Caenorhabditis elegans: one gene and its partners. The protein of the gene in region 2 interacts with the protein of the main gene of each other region in a pairwise test. Each region holds a gene or a part of one and is shown on either strand. Other genes may lie near its edges. The genes, in order: ubxn-4, ubql-1, png-1 and reps-1.

Region 1 (3,866 bases), on a different chromosome or scaffold from region 2:
AACCGATAAATATTCCGATGATCAGGATCCCGTGTCATTTGCTCTGGAGGTATAGGATCTCTCTGAAAAATCTTCGAAAAATGTATGGAACTTATGGATTGATTGATAAAACTTACGAAAATCGGATGAAGTCGTTCTTCGAAAATCTCCATTAGTCGCTCGTGTCCACGATTTTTACGATTTGAAATATGATAATATATTGCAAGAGAAATGCATTTTATTGTATTCTTAAGATGAGGTTGACTGACTGTTGAATCATCTAAAATTTGAGAAATCAGAGAATGTTTATGAAATCTTTAATTACCAATATAAATAGTACTGCAGCTGCTTGATTTACGCAGGCTTCTGGGTAAAATTCCGGGATGATGACCACCAGCTGCCAATGCATCCAACATATAACATGAACGACGATTGTCTTTTACTGGAATTGATAAGAATAGATTCAAGGATTAGAAGAAAAAGAATTTTACATTTCATTTCACTTTTACTTCGTTCCATAAATGTTGGCCGAGCTGTTGGATTCGTTGATGGATCTTCCTCGTATCCTTAAAAAATATGAATTTAAAAATATATACTTCAGTGATATAATTACCTTCTGTTACCTCTCGTTCACTTATGTGAGGAAGGAAGTTTGTCGATGTTTCATCACGAGGGAACACTTGATTGACATACTGGAACTGAATTTTAAATTTAGGTTTTTGTAGAAAGAGGTTTTCGAATATTTTTACCTTTAAAATATAATTTTAAATAATCTTGTACTCGTGAAGCTTATTAAAGCCCTTTAAACCAAATTTGTGTAAATAAAAAATATTATTCTCTTCGAAATGTATATTTTCAGAGCTTTATAGTTTTTTTTTAAATTAAAAACAATTATTCCAACAATCGATATCAAAGTTTCCATTTATGCAAACTTTTTCAAAAAATAACTTTGTATACCTCCACTTGATTAGTTCTAATATACTGTCCATCATTATTATACGATTTGTCCTCTCCGCTCGACGACCTCGTTCGCAGACAACACGATGAATTTCCCATCACCTGTAAACAATTATTGGTTTAAATTCAAAGTTTCAAAGACAATGTTACTAATTTCAACTTACGGAACACGTTTAATCTCCAAAAACCAAAATTATCGCATTAGGAGTGACTAGAAACTTGGGAAGCGAGTCCTGCAAATTAATGGAAAATCGATAAAGTGTGGGGAACGGAGCACAAGAAAAAATCTGTCTAGTAATGTTTATTCAATTGTTAATTGATAAATTGTTTGCAAATTAAATATAAAACAAATATTTTCTATGAGAAAAGCGAAGAAAAACAGAGAAAAATCCATTTCTTCAATGTAAAAATCGCAGAGAGCGGTGGTGGGCGGAGTTTATGGCAGGAGGCGGAGTCGGAATGCAACCCCCGCACGGTTTCTTCTCTCCACGAATTATTCGACGTCTTTTTATTTTTATAAATTTTTTAGCCACTTTTTTATTTATTTTGCTGGAATAAATCAATTAAGAACGCTTTCTGTAGAAAATTTTAGGTTATTTTATCTCAATAACTAAATGTTTACTCTTCGATTTCTGAAAATCGTATCTTTTCACATGAATCGATAAGTTATATTAAAATTTACAGAATGCAGTGGTTTGGTGGCAACGTAGCGACTGCGATTCAAATTTCCCGTAAGAACAAAGCTCTTCTCATTGTATATATCACCACGGATTCGGAAGATGGCCAGATTTTCGATGGGTTTTGGCAACATATCGATTCGTCAAATCTTTTATGCGCAGTAGTGGGAATAAAACTGAAAGCTGGTGAAACTTCTGCCCAGCAGTTTGCTGATATTTGTAAGTTGGAATGTTTAAATTATAGCAGTTCAGCCAAAATGTTATCTTTTTAGATCCTACACCAATTCTGCCAGCAGCATATCTAATCGATCAAAATGGAAAACCTTTGGAAGTCATCACTCCGCTCGTTGGAAAAACATATGACCAGTTCCGAGCCAAATTTGATAAAGCTACTGCTCAATTCGTCAATGGGATGCCAACAGCAGCTGCAAATCAACTTTCAACACCTAGTCCTTCTCCCGCCCCTGTCCAAGTACCAGCGTCAACGGATGCCCCAATCCCAGCCCCAACACCTGTTACAGCACCAATTCAATCTTCATCAACTTCTCAGGAAATGACTCGTGAACTTGCAGAGAAGGTAGCAAGAGCTAAAGCTCTTCTAGAGCAAAAAAAGCAAAAAGATGCTGAAAAGAAGCGAGAGGCCGACAAACATGTAAAGGAAGAAATGACAAAAGCACGCGAAGCAAAACAGGAAAGAGATGCTGAAGCGTTGGTCAAAGCAGCGAAACAGAGGAAGATGGAAAAATTGGCAGCCGAAAGTGATAAGAAACGAATTTTGGCCCAAATTAAAGCTGATCGGTAAGATTTTAATTTAGTGTTTCTAAAATATAAATATTTTTCAGCGAAGCTGCTCAGAAAAAGTTCGGGAAACTTGTGAACACTGAAAACGCTTCGGAGAATACTGAAAAGAAACAAGAAACCACTGTTGGAAAGGCTGTGCCATCAGACAGGTTAGAAAATTAATTGATAACTGATAATTTATGAATTTATTGTAGGTGTCGTCTACAAGTTCGACTTCCTGATGGTTCTACTTTTGTAGAAGAATTTCCTTCAAATGATGTTCTCAATTCTCTCGTAGAGATCATTCGTCAAAAGCCCTCTATTGCTGGAACTACTTTTGAAATTCAGCAACCGTATCCACGCCGCATATTTACAAATGATGACTATTCGAAAACATTCCTCGAGAATCAATTAACACCCTCTACCGCACTTGTCGTAATTCAAAAATCGTCGGGTTCCTCTTCAAATTATGGATCTTTCTCGCTCAGTACTCAAACCGTATCCTTTGTAACATGGGTTTTATACCCACTCACTGCTTTTTGGAATATTTTCTGTGGTATGATTGGCTGGAATTCTACCGGAAAACAACAAGACTCGAAATCTAAGAAAAACGATGGGCCATCTACATCGGGTCAATCAGGATCACAACCACAAAGACGCGGGATGCCAAGGAGTGCGGAAGTTCGTCGGGTTTGTGTGCATTGTTATTTTCTTTCCATAATGAAATTATTTTCAGCGTGGAAACGTCGCAGGGCTTGAAAATCCGAATGAAGACGATCCTGAAGAGCGAGCCAGTTTCAATGGAAATTCTACTCAGTTCATGTAATAATGTAAATTTCTTGTCGCCTGTGATTCCAACACCAAAAGTTCATCGCCATGGATAATTTATTTTTTGCTCGTTTATAATTCGAATCGAATAAAAGTTTTCATTTATCCCAGATATGTTCAGTTTTCTTGCTGAGTTTTCGGATTTTAAACCATAACTTTATACCTATTCTTTACAATGTTAAAAACATATTTTCTCAAACTCTATTGTGTTAAGATGACAGAAACAGAATCCCAGAAGCAAATAAAACTGGAAATATGCATCGATAATCTGGAATCTGCGGAAAATGCTGTTGCCGGTGGAGCTGATCGATTGGAAGTTTGCTCAGCTTTACAACTCGGAGGGCTCACTCCATCCGTCGGATTTGTGTCTATTCTGAGCTACAAGTATCCCGATATTCCACTTTATTGTATGATTCGCCAACGGGCAGGCGATTTTGTGTATAATGAAGACGAAATGGCAGCGAATATGGAAGACGTTGAATGGCTCAAAAAAGCTGGTGCCACAGGATTCGTTTTTGGAGCATTAACATCGTAAGTCGGAGAGTTTTAAATTGAATGAAACAAATAAATATATTATAATTTTATTTCCAACATGTTTAAATGAAAAAAGAAAAACATATTCTTGTTTCATTTCGAATTTTTCAC
Region 2 (7,569 bases):
TCACATGAAAACTTTGAAAACTCAATTATTGTTGTGCTAGAGGCTCAATTCCAAATCCATCCATCTTTGTATTTGGAAGGCAATCATTCCAAAATCTATTCCCAAGAAACAAAAAATATGGTCTATAGGAGAGCGGAGCACTTGATTGAAATGATGCACATACATACCCACACAGACACAAATTAACATTTCCTCTGAGAATAGGCAATTTTGAAAACATGAGGGAAATGCACATAGCATGCGTAGAGCTGCTTCTTAATTGTTCATTACATATTACGAGTCAGTGCTACGATGTTTATCTTCTAAAAACGCATTTTGCTTGTCATGTTTCGAAACAAATGAGTGCGCGAACAACGAGTATCTGTGCATTTATATCTATGAGTGTGTTGTTCTCAATAATAACAGAGACAGGAAGAGGAGCAGTTGGACGAATCGACGCGTCATATGTGTTTTTGCATGGGACCCCTCTTGTTCTTCTTCCTATTGTGACCAGCACTACCGCATCTTTCCGTTCATTCGATTTATGCATTACACCATACTTTGACGAGTTCGACAACATGCATTAAGTGATACAACGTGTCCTCCACTCTCTACACATGTCCCTACAATTCCATCAACATACTAATTAATGAGAAGAAATGATTGGACTATGTTTCGGATTTAGCTATCGTAATTTTAAGGGAACTACTTTAAAGGAGAAACAATTTTAGATATTTGAATTTATTGTTTATCCTTAATGCAAAAATCAAGGTTTCAATATGATCTGAGCAAGAGAAGCGATGTTCTACTATAAAATAACTATATCACAGGTTTGATACAGGTGTTCGAAAGAACTGTTTCCCATGCAACCAGCCATCTGTCTATTGTAAGAACAAGAAAACCAATCGAATGCCTATTCAAAAGACACTAAGTGTTTTGCCACTGAACAGATCATCCCATCGTTTCGGACGTCGGCTCCTAATAGACTCCACTACTAATCACTTCGAATATCATTTGCATCGGCTCATCTTAACAAAAAAGGCGGGAAACGAGAAGACCGGAAGATGTTCGCCAGCTGCCTCTTTATGAAATGAAATACGTGTATGGCACGGCGCGTGTTCCACACAATCGCCGATTAGACAATTGTTGAATGAATAAAAGGGGAACGTCGCCGTCCTTTTTCCTATCTGCTCTCATCATGCGCACCAACCTCGCGCACTATTCCATTACACAATATTCCTGGAGACACATCGTTTACTATGATCTATGCAAATGTCGTCAAAACAATCATCTAATGAGACAAAAGCTGCAGCAGCAGTTATAACAAAAAGGGGGAGAACAAATGTTGTGGCCAATTGCTTGAAACATACGGGATAAATTTGATAGCAGCGTAACCGCTTACAAGATGAGATTATAGTGACATCCGATCCGTGGAATGTGTGTGTGTGTGTGTGTGCAAATACGTCGTCGCGCATCCTAAATATGCCACAAAACATGTGCTCCTAACAATTGCGGGAAGCAAAAAGAGCAACACTGATTTGCTTATTAAAGGGGCCGAAGAAAAAAGAAATATAGATCAGATATCGTAGTAAAACTTCTCGAAAAATCAAGTTTCCTAATTTGCAGTCGAAATTGGCAACTACCTAGATACCACCTATTTTAATTTTGGAATTCGACCGAAAATAGGCAATTATTCAAGTATTATAATTTAATTTTTTGTATTAAAACATTTTAGGGTGTCGAACATGGAATAATGCTCTAAACTTTACAAAAAGCTCAACTTTCCGAAAATTTGGCATTGTGCGTACAAATAACCCCTAATGTAGTGAAGATCACATCTACTAAAATTGAAGGTTCTGTGATAAGAAAGTTTCCTTTCAGCTTTTGTGTTGCCCTCTCATCCCAAAAAAGATCTGATTATTGAACATAGTTTTTTTTGCTGTGAAATGTGTAATATTTATGTGAAGAGACGAGCCTTTGTCGATCAACGTTTTTATGTGCGCCTACTAATATCATTTTATGTGGGCAATGCACATACATACACACACTCATCCACGTTTTGGTATTGAACAAAATTAATCGAAAATGTAAAATGACATATAACATGTATGTGCCAACAATGTGTTGTGTGATGCGAGAGCATTCGGTCCAGTAGTGCAACGTCGACGAAAATTAAAAAATCTGATCTATTCGTATGGATAAGATGCCCGCCTTTCACACTTCCTATGTCAAGTGATGAAAACGAAAAATGCAGAAATTATTGCTTTTGTTTCCAATTCAAATTGTTTCGTCTAACAATCATCAAAAATTAAAAGACAAGGAAATGAGGGGCCTTCCTCTTTCACTGGGGGAACTCATGATAAATCTCCCACACTTCTCTTTTCTAAGAGTATATTCTGTCTGTAGAAAGGGCCGAGACATCAGAATTTCGAAACAATTTTAGATACGCCACCGGGGTCTAAATGAAATTCGATATGATAATTGCATTTTCTGAGCAAACAGGAAAAGATTTTCGATCGTGCACGCTGTCATCAGTTTGCCATCGTCTTCGTCACTTTATACTCATTATCTAACATTTATCCATAGCATGTCAAACGAGCCGACTTTTGCTTCTGCTCAGCGACGACGGCACAGAAGAAGCAGAAGACGGAGCATCGTCTTGTTACATTATTCAGAACAGACACACGATGACTTCTTCTTTCTTGCTCGCGCACTTCCGTCGCTGTCACAGAGCAAACGGCGACTCGGCGCAACTCATCAGCTTCTAAATTTGAGCAAAAACTTTGATATATGAAATGAAGGGGGAACTTCATTTGATGTGAGGCTTCAACTAATCATCCAAATTTTCATTTCAATTTGGAAAATTCAAAAGACCACGGAATCGAGAGGGAAGTATAAAAAAAACTATACTATGGGAAATTATTGGATTCGGTGATATTATTCTAAATCGATCTGTCGATTGAATTAGAAAGGAAAGCTTAAAATAGTTCAATTAGCTGAAAAAGTTCTTTGAACCCATGATGTTTCAATAACTATCATACAGACAATAGAAAGTTTTGGCAATTGCCGATTAAAAAAATTTTACCACTTCGATAAATTCACAATCCAAAAATAGGCTATTGTCGAGTTTTCAAATTTTGCAATGAATAAAAAATAAGAAAAACTGATTTCTACAGTAGTAATGCTTTTTTTTTAGCTTTTTAAATAGAAATTTTCTCTTTTTCAGTTCATAAAATCTTATTATCTCGTTATTTCACTCTGAATATTTTTTTTTCTAGACAATTCGAGAAGGCCGAACTTGAAAATAATCACCTCTGCTCCCATAAGAAGTGACATAAGAAATCAAATATTCAATATACTCACTCTTCCTCCTCCCATATTCATTGAATTGAATAAATCGGCAAGTCCGTTTGCAGAGTTTGCTCTGAAATGAGAAAAAACTATCAGCTATAAAAACTATCAACGAACCCAGCAGAAGATGCATTGGCATCAGAACCGAATGCTCCACCTCCCATTGCTCCAGCTTGGAAAAGGCTAAAATAATTTTAAATAGTTTTTGACTAAATGGTATTTTCAAATACTTCAAAAGTTGAGGTGCTTCTCTGCGAAGAGTTGAAAATCCCTCTTGAATTTGACGGAATGCTTCACTGACCCGTGGGTTTCTCATTGCCTCCATCACAGATGGATCAGACATCTGAAATTTTGAAATATAAATTTTTGTAAAAATTTAGAAAATAAACCATGTTGAGCATTTGTGGAAAACTTCTACGAATTCCTTCGGAAATCTGTGGGTTATCACGAGCCGATGGAATTTGTCCAACAATCTGAACTTACATAATTATTTTAAATTTTTTAAAAATGAAACTAACGGAATCAATGAGTCCAGGATTGTTTGACATATTTTGACGAATTGAATTGATGACTTCTGGGCTGAACATACTGGCCTGCATACTTGGATTGGACATCATCTGCTCCATTAGGGAGCTGATGCCAGGTGAATCAAGCAATGCTGAATATGAATTAAAACATTATTAACGGATCACTAAACTATGAGGATATTCGTGACGTTTAAATATTTTGTTTAAAATTATAATAAATGGTGGGCGGCAGACGTAAAATTGGGCGAATTGGAAATTTGTCGTTTTGAAATTTTTGTTGGAAATTTTTTAAGGAAAATGTTCAAAAATACATTGCTGAAAATCTTTTTTCACATTTACAATTTTTTAATTTTTTCGGCAAATTGATATTTGGCATTTGCCACTCGTCATTGATTATTATATGATTTTAATGTAAGATTTTTTTTTACTTAGAGAAATTTGACTCAGAAAAACTTACAATTAAAGTCAGCAGAACGATTATTCGATTGATTATTGGTAGCTTGATTGGCGTTTGAAGCCCATGGATTTGGCAGAGCTTCATTATTTTCTTGTCCAGCACGATCGACACGTGGCTCACTGCTCTGATCACCTCTTAGAGAAGCAAATGGATTTCCACTGAGCGAATTTGTTGCACTATTGAGCAAGGGCTCCTGTACATCATTGTACAACCGTTCAAGAGCAGCTTCTCCTCCGGGAATTCCCTGAAAATTGAATGTTTCAACATAAAATAACAAATCCAACCGAAAAAAAGGAAAATCTGTTGAAATTGGAATTCAAGACAAAAACCCCTGTAGCGCGGCTGGGATGGAATATATAGTTTCCAGAAATGTACCCCTGATATTAAAAAAAAATTAGCAATTTTTTGCCATATCAATTAAAATAACAATTAATTACTTTTAATAGTCATATTTAGACATTTAGATCGGCATCCTTGATCGATTTTTTAAAACTAAAACTGAAAAATCAGAATTTTTCGTTTTTCGATTTTAGAGAGAAAAAACCGACTTTTTCAATTTTTAAAAAATGGTATTAAATTTTGGTAATTTTTCTTTTTTTTAGACAATTGTTAGATAACATTAAAATGTCTTCGTATGTTTTTTGTCACCAACATATATGACACAAGTTGTGTGTCACACAACTTGATAAAAATCAAATTTTATTGATAATTTTCTGGACTTTTTTTCTTCGATGTTTCGATTTTCGCTGAAAACATTGAAAAATTGAAAAATGGCATCCCTTGATCAGCATAGCTATATATAATGTACCTGAAGATTCCTAATAGCTTGATCATGATTCCGCATCATTTCTTGGAACATATTTGGATTACGAATCATCTCCATAGTTTGACGCATTACATTCGGATCGTTGAGAATGTGTCCAACTTCTGGATTTCTCTGAAAATATTTATTGTCGATATACGAGAGAAATGTGGAAGATTAAAAAATTAAATAATTTTTCGAATCCGAAAATTTACAAAACAAATATCCAGGAAAAACTCGAACCTCAATCAATGCTTGGAATTGTGGGTTGGATTGAATAATTGTTCTCATAAACTCTGGATTTCCTAGAAGTTGTTGTGTAATTGGATTATCCATAACTGAACGCATAGCATCTGGATTGTTTAAAATATCAGCAGGTGATCCCATTCCTCCCATTGCTGCAAATGGATTATTGGTAGGATTCGGTTGTGAAGAAGGTGTTGGATTGGAACTTGGTGCAGATGAAGCTGTTGGTGTTGCAGCAGCCGGCGCTGGTGTTGGACGGGCTTGATTTCTAATAACCAAGTGGACGGTGTGACCATCAGCGATTTCTAAATTTTTGTTTATTATTTTTTGGAACACATTTTTCAACTTACTGTGCTGTGTGAGAGTTTCTTCATCCTTCAGAATTTTTCCGGTGTAAATTATACAAACTTGTTCTTTGTTCGCAGTTGGAACGAACACAAGAACCTTGTCTTTTAGCTGTAAAATATTAATTAAACACTGTGATTTACACATTTAATTTATCAAAATGGAATAATCACTTGAATTTTTATCTAATTCTCAAGAGCAAAATTTTATTTTTTAAATAAAATATAACATACTTCTGAAACTGATGCATCCGCAGCAATCTCAACGTCATACTTGTTCGACGGTGATTTCACGTGAACTTTGATGAGTGCACTCTCTGTAGCCATCTTAAATTTGAGAAATATTAAAAAACCGACAAAATTAAATAAAGAAAAAGGATTGAGAGAATGAGAGGCGGAGACGGAAAAGAACACGTTGCATCGATAAATCGAGAATATTCTCGAAGCGCAAAAAGAAATTTCGCAACTATTTCAGACCGAATAATGTAATAATGTAATGGGTCTCTTCGATAGAAAATAAACGAAGATAAACGAAGACACAATTCTTCCTGACGCGCGAGCTTCAATATGCACGTGATGACTAATTTGGTTTCCATGGTGATCTTTTTGTTCCTTTTATCGATTCAAATTTACAATAAAAATAAGAAATTAAAGTTCTAAATGGCGCTCCAATCAATTTGCCTTCCAATTTAACGTCGATTCCTTCTATATCAGGTCATAAAATGAATAAAAAACAATGATCAATAAAATGATGCGGTAGTTGCGTAAATCGACACATGATGGTCGCCTCTTCCGTGCGAGACCCATTGGGCGGAGTTCTCACAAGAATGAGGCCAATCGGCACACAACACGCGTGCGACAGGCAGTGAACGACGTGTTTTTGGCTCAGTTCCTACCAATCCCTGGTGTACACACGAGCGCCACGTGGACCTTAACAATTCGGGTCTATTTTTATGCTTCTGCTCTGCATTTTCTGGATTATTAGTAATAATATCATTAAAAGTGATATAACGCTCCCCGAGTCTATATAAAATTTCTCCTCCATACAACACATGTTTTTTGGCTTTCTTCTTCTAAGCTTAAAATTTATAGTTATTTACTAACTGTATTTTCCACTTATTAAAGATAATTTTTGAAAAGTGTTTGTAAATACTTAAAATTGAACCCGAAACAATCTGTATTTGTCCATTCACATGTGATTCACAGAAAAGAATGAAAATAAATGCGAAAAAAAAATAAATAAAGTAAAGGCGCATTGATTTTACCGCTCGCGGTATCTCGCCACGAAAACACGTTTCGCGTCAAGCGGCTCACGTTTTCGATGCGATCGCGGTTTGTTAATTGCGAAAACACCTTCCCTTCTCTTCAATCGTTCGCTCAATTTCTAGAAAATATTTCTGAATAATCTGAAAACCTCTAATCTTGTTTCTTAGTTTTTAACTTTTTGTCGGTGTTCCCGATAATCTCTCGCCCTCTAAACTCACTCGATCGATTGTCGTTTATAGGTAAAGTTTTTAGGTAATGATTTGGGTCCAGGCAGCTTTGGTCGCCTCCTTCCTGGCGTTCGCCAGTGCTGGAGGAGCCGTTCTCGAGTATACCGACGGAAACTTCGATGATCTCATCCAAACCCACGACATTGCTCTTGTCAAGTTCTACGCTCCCTGGTGCGGACACTGCAAGAAAATTGCCCCAGAGTATGAGAGAGCTGCCCCAAAACTCGCATCTAACGATCCACCAGTCGCTCTCGTCAAGGTAAGATAACCATACTTATTTACACAGCCATCGCTCATATATCGATCGCAGTGACACTGACAAATACGCGAAAGCTGATAAAACAGCAACGAAAGCCACATTGAATAGAAA
Region 3 (4,698 bases), 4.4 Mb from region 2:
CAATCGATAGGGAATTTCATGGGCTATCCTATGGATCGCCTAACTTTCGCAAATTTGCAATTTTTTTAGGCCACATTTTTCTAGGCTTCACACCTCGTCTGCAACAATTTCGCCGGATTATTATATCTCGGGAATCGCATTTCCGTATTACATCCATCACAAATGTAAACTTCAACACGTGAGGCTCCGCCCTCTTTTTGCTCTTCCCGAGTTGGAGTCCCTTGGAGCCCGTCGGTTGAGCATTTTAGGGTGCATTTGGGACATGTTGGACGGTCGAACCAAGTGAAAAATTGAGTTTTAAACCAGTGGAGAAGGTCTGAAAAATTGAAAAATTAGTTAAAACCCGCGCGAAAATTGAGTTTTTAAAGTCATGGCCTAACTTTTCAATTGGTGGCCTAGAAATCCAAAACTAGGCTATAAAGTGAATATATCAAATTATAGGCTTACTAGGCTTTCGCTGACATCAGATCATTTTTCAGAATTGAAAAATGTGAATTTTCCGCCGAGTTACGGCGATTTTAAGTTGGTGGCCGAGGATTTTCCTAGGCCACTAGTTTAAAAACATGTTAAATTGTCTTAAAATTTTTATTTTTGTATGGCGCAGAATTAGATTTGACATAAAGTATTGGAATTTACTGTAAAATAAGCGAAAATTTACGTCTTAAACTGATGGCCTAACTTTTTATTTGGTGGCCTAGAAATCCAAAACTAGGCCACGCACTCAATATATCAAATTATCGGCTTTTGTTGATATCAAATAACTTTTCAGAATTCAAAAATTCCAATTTTCAGCCGAGTTACTGTAAATTTAAGTTGGTGGCCTAGGAAACTCCTCGGCCACCAACTTAAAATCAACGTAACTTGATGGAAAATCGATATTTTCAAATGAAACATAATCCAAATGATGGGTGTTATCGAAGTTCGATGAAAATTTGGCGAAAAATCGACTTTTTATATTCGTGGCCTAACTTTTTCCGGCGGTGGCCTAGAAATCTAAACCGAGGAAACACTGAATGTATCAAATTTGTATGTTTGATTGACTCGTGCTGATGTCAAATCACTTTTCAGAATTGAAAAAAGTGAATTTTCCGCCAAGTTACGGTGAATTAAGGTTGGTGGCCTAGGAGTTTCCTAGGCCACCAACCAAAAAACGCTGTAACTCGGTGGAAAATCGATATTCTTAAATGAAATAAAATCAAACTGGTACAGGAAGTACAGGAATTCCGCAAAAAATCGACTTTTCAATGTTATGGCCTAACTTTTTCTGGCGGTGGCCTAGAAACCCAAACCTAGGCCATGTACTGAAAGTATTAATTTTATCTTTCCTTTCTTCTTTTTCAACTCGTGCTGATATCACAAAATTATTCAGAATTCAAAAATTCCAATTTTTCGCCGAGTCACGGTGAATTGAAGTTGGTGGCCTAGGAAAATCCTCGGCCACGAACTTAAAAACGCTGTAACTTCGCGGAAAATTGATATTTTCAAATGGACTAAAAACCAAAAGCCATCCGATAGGAAATTTCGAAGTCTATCTGAAGTTTGAGGTAGTGTGGCCTAGGTTTGGATTTCTAGGCCACAAACTAAAAATCGGCTATAACTCGGCTGAAAATCAACATTTTCGCGATCCGAAAAAACCAATCGATAGGGAATTCGATTTTCTCGATTTTCTTCTTGCACCTTTCAAAATCGCCTTCTCATCCCTCGGCCCCTCGGTCATGGCTCTTCCCACCAGCTCCTCAGGCATAACACTTCTCGCCAGAGCCTTGAACACCTCATCCTGATAGCTTCTCGGTACGTTCGAACATTTGACAAATTGCTCCAAAAATCGCTTTTCCGAGTCAGAAGCCGCGTTGGGATTTGCCGGAGTTGGCGAATAGTGTTGCCGAATTTTTTCGGCAATTGCCTGCTGATTGGCTCCGCGGACCATGTCGACTTGCTGGCGATTTTTCAAAAAAATGAATGTCGGCATTGCGGAGATGTTGTACCGCTGGACAATGTCTGAAAAAACGCAAAAATCGATTGGTGGCCTAGTTTTTCAGTTGGTGGCCTAGAAAAAACTAGGCCACCGATTTATCAGACTAAAGAGTTGAGTTTTTAATTTCCTATCGATTACTTTTTGTTGCATTCAAAAATATTGATTTTCCGGCGATTTATGGCGGTTTTAAGTTGGTGGCCTAGAAACCTTCTAGGATTTTTCTAGGCCACCAATATAAAATAGCTGTAACTTGACGAAAAATCAATATTTTTGAATTTTCAAAGAAAAGTATTCGAGCATTAGCAAATTTTTTAAAGCTTTTAGAAAACATACAAAAACGCCTTCAAAAAAATTTTCGTGGTGGGACCCAGAAATTTTTCCGAATTTTTTTTAATTTCAAAATCGTCCAAACCTAGGCATGATGGGTGTCAACTGAAAGGTCTCGGCGAGCTGAACACGAACATTATAAATTTAGGGCCTAGTTTTCAACTTGGCGGCCTAGAAATTGGAAAAACGAGGCCACCACCAACTTAAAATCGTCGTAACTCGCGGCGGAAAATCGACATTTTTGAATCCGAAAAAACAAGATTTCGTGGCGGGACCCATTTTTACCTCTTGCCACGTCACAATTGACCTTTAAAAACGTGGCATTTCCGTATTCCGCGGAAAATTGCTCGAAAATCGGAGAAATCATACGGCACGGGCCACACCAATTAGCGAAAAAATCGATAATTATGAGACGATTCGCATCGGAACGCTGGAAATTGGAAATTAAAAAAATTAAAAATTAAAAATTTTTTTGCAGAATTTTATTGATTTTTTTTCAGAATTTTTTCGATTTTTTTTCAGAAATTTATCGATATTTTTTCAAAACTTTATTGATTTTTTTACAGAATTTTCATCGATTTTTTTCTAAAATTTTATTGACTTTTTAAAATAAAATTTTATTGATTTTTTCAAAGAAAAATGTCCTGCTCACCTCCAAAATATTATTGAGCTCTGGCAGTGAGCCAACTTCCGTTACCGGCATTTTTCGACTGAAAAATAAATTTTTAGCCAATTTTTTGCGCTAAAAACTTGAAAAAGGTATAATTGACATATTTACAAGTGACCAAATAAACTTTAAAAAAAAAGTTTTCTCGAAAAATCAATAATGTATTCAGATATTACAGGGAATAAGTGACAAGAAAAAAAAAATTAAATTATTCCTCTCGTTTTCGAATATTCCGATTTGCTGTCTTTTTCTTGAATTCGATCGGTCCTTTTACCTGAAAAAAGGGAATTTTTTTAGTGAGAAAAAAATCTAATGAAAAATCGTCGAATTATTACTTTTCCAGCGGGAAAAATATTGTTTTTTCGTGATTTTCCAAAAAAAATTTTTTCAGAATTTTATCGATTTTTTTGCCTAGAATTTTATTAATTCAAAAAACATAATTTTGTCGATTTTTCAGTAAATTATCAATTTTTTTCGGGAAAATATCGATTTTTCTGATAATTTTAACGATTTTTTTAGTAAAAAAATTTTCTTTTTCAACTAAAAAAAGTTTTAAAGGAAATTTTATTCGTTTCCAAAATGAAAATTTTAAATTTTTAAATTTTTCCGGCTCAAAAAAACCAATTTTCAGTGATTTTCAACCTTATGAAGCTCAAAAAGCTTTTCAGCTCCAAATTTTCAAGGAGAAGCTCAATTTCAGACGTTTCTTCATGGTATTTTCAAGCTTTTCCGTCTTAAAAAAAGCCTATTTTTATCGTTTTCCAAGAAGCTTTTTAGCTCCAAATTTCGAGGAGATGCTCAATTTCAGCACCTTTTTCGTCATAACACTGGCAGTTTTTTCTCCAAATTCAAATTTCGGTTCTTCTTGTCTCTTTTTCTCTTCTTCCTCCTTCCGTTCTTCTTCTTCTTCACGGAATCGTGCAGTTAGTGGAGATTCGAATATTTCCGTCGTTTTTTCACTTTTTTCGACACGTTGCCATGCTCCAAATGGTGCTCCAGGTGTTGTTGGAATTGATGGTTTTGGGGGCTCAATGAGCCCAATTTCTGGGATTTTTGGGGGCTCTTCAAGCTGCTCTTGGAGCTCCTCGGGAGGCGGAGTTGATGAGTGCTCGCGGAGCACCAGGGCTTCACGTTCTGGTGTTCCTGGAACAATTGAATTTTTTAAAGAATTTTATCGATTTTTAAAAGAATTTTTATCCAAAAAAATACAACTTTTGCCGAAAATTTCACGGTTTTTATGGGATTTTTGCGTGTTTTTTTCTAATTTTTTCGCATTTTCAGTCCGTAATTCGTAGGTTTTTTTTTGGTAATTTTCCAGCCAAAATTCAGCGTTTTATAGCGATTTTTTTGTAGAATTTCTGTCTAAAATATGCAATTTCCAGCCAAATTTCGGCGTTTTTCATCAAATTTTCATGATTTCTCGGGTTTTTTTCAGTCATTATTCGAGCTTTTCTTGTAGAATTTGAATTTTATCGATTTTTCCAAAATGTTTTCACATTTTCTGCCCAAAATTCAGCGTTTTAAAGCGATTTTTTGGTGAAATTTCAACCAAAAATGTGCAATTTTAAGCCAAAATTCAATTTCATCGAAGTTTTGCAATTTTTAGGGCTTTTTCATCGATTTTTCATCGATTTTTGGTCTTTTTCAAATTTTTATTGGTTTTTTTTTTTGAAATTCTACCGATTTTTGCAGAATTTTCACCTCAAAAATATGATTTTCGGCCAAAATT
Region 4 (6,866 bases), on a different chromosome or scaffold from region 2:
AGCCAAGTTGACGCCTGGATTAAGCCCCAGCGCCGCCGGATGTGGAGATCAAAAATCGATTGACGAATTCGGAGAAATGTGGAAAGCCTATAGAAATAGCGAGGAAACTGTCGAAAAAACGCGGGAATACGGTCGTCAGATGAAGAAATTACTCGGAATTCAACAATAATTTACTGTTTTTTTTTAGTTCTGCTAAGATTATTATACATTCGTCACGAATGTGTAATAATTTTTTTTCTCGAAAATTTTTTGTTTTTTTTTTGTTATTCTAGCAGTTTTTATAATAGATCCCTCAAATTCTGTCAAAATTTGGAATTTTTTCCAAATTTTTAGCCGGATCTGTAATAATTTTTTTGTCCGAATTTTTTAGATAGTTCCCATCTTTCATGTTATTTCATTTTTTTTTGGAAAAATTTATATATATATATTTTCCAATTTTAAAAAATAGTTATTTTTAATGTGTGTAAAAATCAATACATACTTTATGATTTTTTTTTTCAAAAAAAAAAAAGAAGATAGTGTAATAGATTAAATTATCACAGAAAATAGAAAAATTGATGCTTATTTTAAAAAATTACAACATAGGTAAAAATGAAATATATATATGACATATCACAGAAATTATGAAGAAATATGCAGATTTTTTAGTTTTTTGCGGGGAATCTGGGGGAGAAATTGGTGGGAAATTCGAATTTTTGATAGAAAATAATTAAAAACTTTTTTAGAAGTTAAATTTAATTTCGGGAAATACCTTTTTCTCAGAAATTTTTGAAAATTTGCTCTAAAATGGGCAAATTTCATGTTTTTTAATGCGAAAAACCAGAAAAATCAATAAATTTTCCATAGAAATCGATAAATTTTCAGAAAAATCGATAAATTTTCAGAAAAATCAATAAATTTTCAGAAAAATCGATAAATTTTCAGAAAAATCAATAAATTTTCAGAAAAATCAATAAATTTTCAGAAAAAATAATTTTCCATAGAAATTGATACATTTCGAATTTTTTTGTTATTTTCCTAACCAAACGTAATAAATCTTTAAAAATTCTATTTTTCCAGCTAAAAATTGAGTTTTTTCCAAAAAAAAAATTTTTTCCGGAAAATTCGAAATAAAATGTGTTATTTCCTAGTTTTTCAAGCCGAAAAAAATTATTTTTTTCCTATTTTTCCTCAAAAATTCGAATTTCCCATCCATTTTTCCTCCACCGGGGATATCATTAAAGTGTAGAAGAAGAGCACGCAGTTTTGGATCTCTCTTCAAATTCCTGAATTCGTATTTCCAATTGAATCCGTACTTGAGCCAACCGTGCTCTTTCGGCTTCTAATTCCGAATTTTGAGTCCTCAAAGCTGTACAACGTTCCTTCCATCGTTCAATTCCTTGCCCATCAGTTGCCTGAATCTCTTCTCCAATTAAATCGTCGATTTGATGGCCGATTTTCGAGAAAAAGCTCTTCACATCTTCCTCAGAATAGAGTAATTCTGTAGTTTGTGTTGATGAATCTGTTGTGGTAATTCGTTTTTCCTCTTCGATGACTCTCTGCAAAAATATTGTGAATTTTTGGAGATTTTTCAGTGAAAAATTTGAAAAATTTGAAGAAAAATGGTTAAAAATGAGTATTTTTGAATTTTGGCGCTGCTAAAACTACAAACTACAAGTAAATTTTTAGCAGCCCGCCCAAGAAATTAGCAGCGCCCAAGAAATTAGCAGCGCCCAAGAAATTAGCAGCGCCCAAAAAAATAGCAGCGCCCAAAAATTAGCAGCGCCCAAAAAAATAGCAGCGCACAAAAAAATAGCCAAAAATTGTTTAAAAATCATATTTTTGTGATTTTCAACCTGTTCAGAAAATAAAAACTACACTAATTTTCGATTTTATCGCAATTTTGAAAAGTTTTTCTTAAAAATTCGTTAAAACGAATAATTTCAAACTTTGGGCGCTGCTAAGACTACAAACTACAACTAAAAGCTTTCCCTTAACTTACCGGTAGAGGTGACGGTGTGATTCTTTGTGGAATCGGCGGTGGAATACTGTCCGGGGTGGCTGAAAATTTGCGGAAATTGGGAATATTTTGATTTTTTCTCGAAAATTGAAAGCAATATATTTTTTGAAAAATTCCAGTTTTTTTAAAATTTTTTTCGAATTTCTGCCCAATTTTTCAGTCTCATACCAGGAAAAGACGCAAAAGTAGTCGTAGTCGTTGTAGTACTAATCGATTGAGCTGTCGGATCGGAATGTGATGACCAAAGTGATAGGGTAGTTGGTGGTAGCTGGGATTCCGCCGAGGCTTTTGTCTTATTCAATGCAATCAATTTCAAGTCAAGACTTGCACTTCTGTTGTGTCCACGTTGTTGTTGTTGTGGGCGGACAGGTGGAATTGGTGGGGGTCCTGAAAATATGGATTATTGATTTCGGGCGCTGCTCTTAGATTGCAAATACTACTAAATATTGAGTGTTGCGTGTTTTAATGAACTTACTTAATACTTAATACTTATTAATACTTATTTAGGTAATTAAATAACTAAGTTACTAACTACATACTTACGTAGTTAGTAATTTAATTACTAAGTTACTAATTAAGTACTTATTTAGATGATGATTAAATAAGAAAATTAGTAGTTAAAAACTCACTCTGTTACTAATTAAATACCCACTTAGTTAGTAATTAAATACTCACTTAGTAGCAATTTAATACTTCCTTAGTTACAAATTAAATAACTACGTTACTGATTAAATACTCACTTTGTTACTAATTAACACTAACAGGGTTAGTAATTAAATACTTACTTAGTTATTTAATTACTAACTAAGTCACTAATTAAATACTTCCTGAGTTATAAATTAAATAACTATGTTACTAATTAAATACTCACTAAGTTAGTAATTAAATTCGTATTGAGTTAGTAATTTCATAACTAAGTTTCTAATTAACTACTTACCAAGTTATATAATTAGCAACTCAGTAAGTATTTTAATTACTAACTAAGTCACGAATTAAAAACGTACTTAAATAGTTATTAATTAAATAATTAGTTACTTAGTCAGTATATAAATAACTATGTTACTGATTAGAAAACTAGGTTTTCTAAAACATTTGAATCGAAAACTATTGTAGTTTTTGTAGTATGACTGCTATTCAACTAGCAATTTTTCGAATAAATTATTATTAGTCAATAATTTAAACTTTTTATATTGTGTTCACACATTTGAGAAGTATAATAAACACTACAACAATTTCTTCAATGAATCCAAACTTACCCAGTGGACTCTTAAGTGCTAACAATGCAGAATGCTTGATAGCTGTTGGCCTACTGTCCACTAATAATGGCGGTGTATCCGAGAATTGTTTGATGATTGGCTGGTTTGCCCACTGGAATTGGAAAAATTCGAAATTAAAAAAAAAACGTCGTTAATGTTTTGAATGATGATACATATTCAAAAGTCAATTAAATTATTTCAAAAACCCCCACATTTTTCACTGGCCCATCAGCTTCTACATGTCCTGCACCGGCGGGACTAGGCGTCGCCGCAACTGTAGACGGAGCCCGTGGCTCTGTAAGTGGTGGCCGCGCGAAACCGGGTAGCACATCAGGAATCGGAACTTCTCCTTTCACTTTCAACACTACTAAATGCATCGCAATCGAGAATTCGTTTAAATCCAACCATCCGTCTTCATTCACATCGGCCAGCGACCAGATTTTCGATAAAGAGCTCATATCCAGCGAGCTTCTCTTGAAAAACGCTACAATTCGTTGATCGGCTCCGCAAAGGGCTCCGCAGAGGTCTGCGGCGCCTTGAGTGGTTTTTATTAAGTGACGGAAGCATTTTGTGTAGTATTCCTGCTGTTTTTCAGTGATTTTGAAGAGAGAATCCGCGTTGGAATCGGCTGAAAATTGGGGAAATTTGGATTTTTTCGAGTTTTTTAGCTTTAAAACCGAAATAATTTCGATTTTTGCAATTTTCCCTGAGAAAATGTGCTTAAAAATAGAAAAAATCGATTTTGGCGCCGCTAAACGGAAAAGCAGCGTCCAAAATTGTGTAGTTTGTAGCTTTAGCAGCGCCCAAAATTGTGTAGTTTGTAGCTTTAGCAGCGCCCAAAATCTTGTAGTTTGTAGTTTAGCAGCGCCCAAAATTGAATTAGCAGCGCCCAAACTTGTAGTTTGTAGTTTAGCAGCGCCCAAAATTGTGTAGTTTGTAGTTTAGCAGCGCCCAAAATTGTGTAGTTTGTAGTTTAGCAGCGCCCAAAATTGTGTAGTTTGTAGTTTAGCAGCGCCCAAAATTGTGTAGTTTGTAGTTTAGCAGCGACCAATATCTTGTAGTTTGTAGTTTAGCAGCGCCCAAAATTGTGTAGTTTGTAGCTTTAGCAGCGCCCAAAATTGTGTAGTTTGTAGTTTAGCAGCGCCCAAAATCTTGTAGTTTGTAGTTTAGCAGCGCCCAAAATTGTGTAGTTTGTAGTTTAGCAGCGACCAATATCTTGTAGTTTGTAGTTTAGCAGCGCCCAAAATTGAATTAGCAGCGCCTAAAATTGTGTAGTTTGTAGTCTAAGCAGCGCCCAAAAAATTCACTCAAAAACCTTCAAAAGTGGTTTTTTTAAATTAGTTTCATCTGTTTTATAGCGGAAATCTCTTCAAAAATGCGAAAAAATTTGAGAAAAATCGAAAAAGGTTATATTTTCATTAAAACTACTCATTTTTGAGGATAATTTTGCACTTTTTCCTAATTTTTCTGGATTTTTCACCGTTTTTCAGCTTAATTTCCACGTTTTTGCATCAAATTTGCCGATTTCGAGCTGAAATTCTTTATTTTTCAAAATAATCACCTGGACTCGTGTGCTTCAGACGTCTCGGACTACTAATAATATCGGCAGCGACTTTTTCAAAGTCTCCATTCGAAAAATATTGCGATTTTTTGTCGTTTTCTGTCATGGAAATTGATTTTTTCGCGGAAAAGCAAATAAAATAGTTGGTGCACGAGAAATGCGCCAGCGCACTGGAGATGCGCAAAGGGGGTTGACTGGCGCGATTCTCGTGCCGGCAAATTTATTTTTTCGTTTTGAAACGATGTTTCAGCTGAAAAACTCAATTTTCACAGATTTTTTGGGTAAAAATCAGTTTTTTAAAGCAAAAATTAATTAAAAAAGCGTTAAAATCTCCTATTCATACACCTAAAACGCTGAAAAATATCCATTTCCTAGTTGTATAATTTGTTTTTCAGTTTTAAAGTGGTTTTTCATGGATTTCGGGGTTTTTACGGGTGAAAACTATCAAATATCGGCAAGATTCAACCGATTTTCGAGCTAAATCTGAAATTTTTGCGAAAAATAATGAAATTCAGCCGGAAAATCGTATTTTTAAGGTTTTTTTTGCCCCAAAATTCGATTTTAACAGCATAACAATTATTTTTTCCAGGTTCTGATGCCCCAATCGTCCGAAATCCCGCAGATTCCTGAAAAAGCCCGAAATCTCACAAAAAGAGAGCTGAAAACGCTGAAAAATGCGCTCGGGAAGCAAGGATTAACGATGGAACAGCACGAAAATGCTCAAAAATCCACAAAACCCTGCGAAATCCTTCAAATCGACACTTTTTCGATTGATAATTCGAATTTAGAAGACGGCTGGTACGTTGGATATGGCGTCGAGTACAATGGCGTCGGAATTTCGGCCGCCGGGGGGGCTCCAGACAGCTCGGCGAGCAGTGAATCCGGTGATCTACCGCCGGCTGAAAATCGAGAAGCCGGCGGCGGGGAAAGCAGCGGATTCGATTCGGATCCACCGACTGATGATGATGATGATGAAGCACCGCAAGAGCTGCTGGAACGGCGAGAAAGTGATGATATTAGTGATAAAGGACAGCTTTTGTATGGATTGGACAGTGAATTTTATGTTGATAAGGCGCTGAAACCCACAAATGTCGAATTTCACGATAAAAATGACACGAAAAGCTTCAAAACTGGCGAATTTGTGTAAGTTTCGAGGAATTGAGCCCCACGTGGAAACTACAAACTACAAGTTTTGGGCGCTGCTCAAGCGATTTCCGCTGAAAAATCATAAAAATTCCCAAATTTTAACGAATTAAACAGAAAATTCCGTCGAAAAATGCGAAAAAACCGGCAATTTTGGTTAATTTTGAGCGAAAATGTGATTTTGGGCGCTGCTAAACTACAAACTACAAGTTTTGGGCGCTGCTAATTCAATTTTGGGCGCTGCTTAGAATACAAACTACAAGTTTTGGGCGCTGCTTAGACTACAAACTACAAGTTTTGGGCGCTGCTAACACTACAAACTACAAATTTTGGGCGCTGCTTAGACTACAAACTACAAGTTTTGGGCGCTGCTAATTCAATTTTGGGCGCTGCTTAGACTACAAACTACAAGTTTTGGGCGCTGCTAAACTACAAACTACAACTTTTGGGCGCTGCTAATTCAATTTTACGCGCTGCTAAACTACAAACTACAAGTTTTGGGCGCTGCTAACACTACAAACTACAACTTTTGGGCGCTGCTAATTCAATTTTGGGCGCTGCTAAACTACAAACTACAACTTTTGGGCGCTGCTAATTCAATTTTACGCGCTGCTAAACTACAAACTACAAGTTTTGGGCGCTGCTAACACTACAAACTACAACTTTTGGGCGCTGCTAATTCAATTTTGGGCGCTGCTAAACTACAAACTACAACTTTTGGGCGCTGCTAATTCAATTTTGGGCGCTGCTTAGACTACAAACTACAAGTTTTGGGCGCTGCTTAGACTACAAATTACAAGTTTTGGGCGCTGCTAACACTACAAACTACAAATTTTGGGCGCTGCTAAACTACAAACTACAACTTTTGGGCGCTGCTTAGACTACAAACTACAAGTTTTGGGCGCTG

Evidence for each region.
Region 1: the proteins of ubql-1 (region 2) and ubxn-4 interact in a two-hybrid assay, tested with the Caenorhabditis elegans proteins (one large-scale study listed by BioGRID).
Region 3: the proteins of ubql-1 (region 2) and png-1 interact in a two-hybrid assay, tested with the Caenorhabditis elegans proteins (one large-scale study listed by BioGRID).
Region 4: the proteins of ubql-1 (region 2) and reps-1 interact in a two-hybrid assay, tested with the Caenorhabditis elegans proteins (one large-scale study listed by BioGRID).

The regions. Positions count from the first base shown.
Region 1 is NC_003281.10:8,403,177-8,407,042, reverse strand, and holds ubxn-4 (UBX domain-containing protein 4), read left to right. Parts: upstream 1-1,620; 5' UTR 1,621-1,621; coding exon 1,622-1,832; intron 1,833-1,885; coding exon 1,886-2,411; intron 2,412-2,455; coding exon 2,456-2,563; intron 2,564-2,608; coding exon 2,609-3,083; intron 3,084-3,129; coding exon 3,130-3,219; 3' UTR 3,220-3,325; downstream 3,326-3,866. Other genes in the region: cyy-1 (Cyclin-Y), read right to left, coding at 1-62, 117-259, 305-421, 471-545, 593-677, 937-1,035; cutc-1 (Copper homeostasis protein cutC homolog), read left to right, coding at 3,436-3,752.
Region 2 is NC_003279.8:7,020,446-7,028,014, reverse strand, and holds the start of ubql-1 (Ubiquilin), read right to left. Parts: upstream 6,034-7,569; coding exon 5,941-6,033; intron 5,819-5,940; coding exon 5,713-5,818; intron 5,668-5,712; coding exon 5,360-5,667; intron 5,252-5,359; coding exon 5,123-5,251; intron 4,559-5,122; coding exon 4,315-4,558; intron 3,989-4,314; coding exon 3,849-3,988; intron 3,804-3,848; coding exon 3,720-3,803; intron 3,674-3,719; coding exon 3,561-3,673; intron 3,514-3,560; coding exon 3,448-3,513; intron 3,404-3,447; coding exon 3,343-3,403; coding exon of another isoform or gene 3,322-3,342; exon of another isoform or gene 3,292-3,321; intron 1-3,291. Other genes in the region: pdi-3 (Protein disulfide-isomerase), read left to right, coding at 7,228-7,458. UniProt on the Caenorhabditis elegans protein: May play a role in the ER-associated protein degradation pathway (ERAD) possibly via its interaction with ER-localized proteins ubxn-4 and cdc-48.1 and/or cdc48.2, providing a link between the polyubiquitinated ERAD substrates and the proteasome.
Region 3 is NC_003279.8:11,378,545-11,383,242, reverse strand, and holds the start of png-1 (Peptide-N(4)-(N-acetyl-beta-glucosaminyl)asparagine amidase), read right to left. Parts: upstream 3,013-4,698; 5' UTR 3,006-3,012; coding exon 2,955-3,005; intron 2,733-2,954; coding exon 2,588-2,732; intron 1,999-2,587; coding exon 1,678-1,998; intron 1,622-1,677; exon of another isoform or gene 1,551-1,621; intron 317-1,550; coding exon 94-316; intron 1-93. Other genes in the region: wbp-4 (U1-type domain-containing protein), read right to left, coding at 3,178-3,243, 3,781-4,112. UniProt on the Caenorhabditis elegans protein: Specifically deglycosylates the denatured form of N-linked glycoproteins in the cytoplasm and assists their proteasome-mediated degradation. Cleaves the beta-aspartyl-glucosamine (GlcNAc) of the glycan and the amide side chain of Asn, converting Asn to Asp.
Region 4 is NC_003283.11:18,985,447-18,992,312, forward strand, and holds reps-1 (REPS (RalBP1-associated Eps domain-containing protein) homolog), read right to left. Parts: upstream 5,055-6,866; 5' UTR 4,923-5,054; coding exon 4,817-4,922; intron 3,884-4,816; coding exon 3,468-3,883; intron 3,368-3,467; coding exon 3,256-3,367; intron 2,387-3,255; coding exon 2,168-2,386; intron 2,041-2,167; coding exon 1,982-2,040; intron 1,539-1,981; coding exon 1,218-1,538; 3' UTR 528-1,217; downstream 1-527. Other genes in the region: mrps-35 (Small ribosomal subunit protein mS35 mitochondrial conserved domain-containing protein), read left to right, coding at 1-169; Y39B6A.37 (Structural protein), read left to right, coding at 5,412-5,959.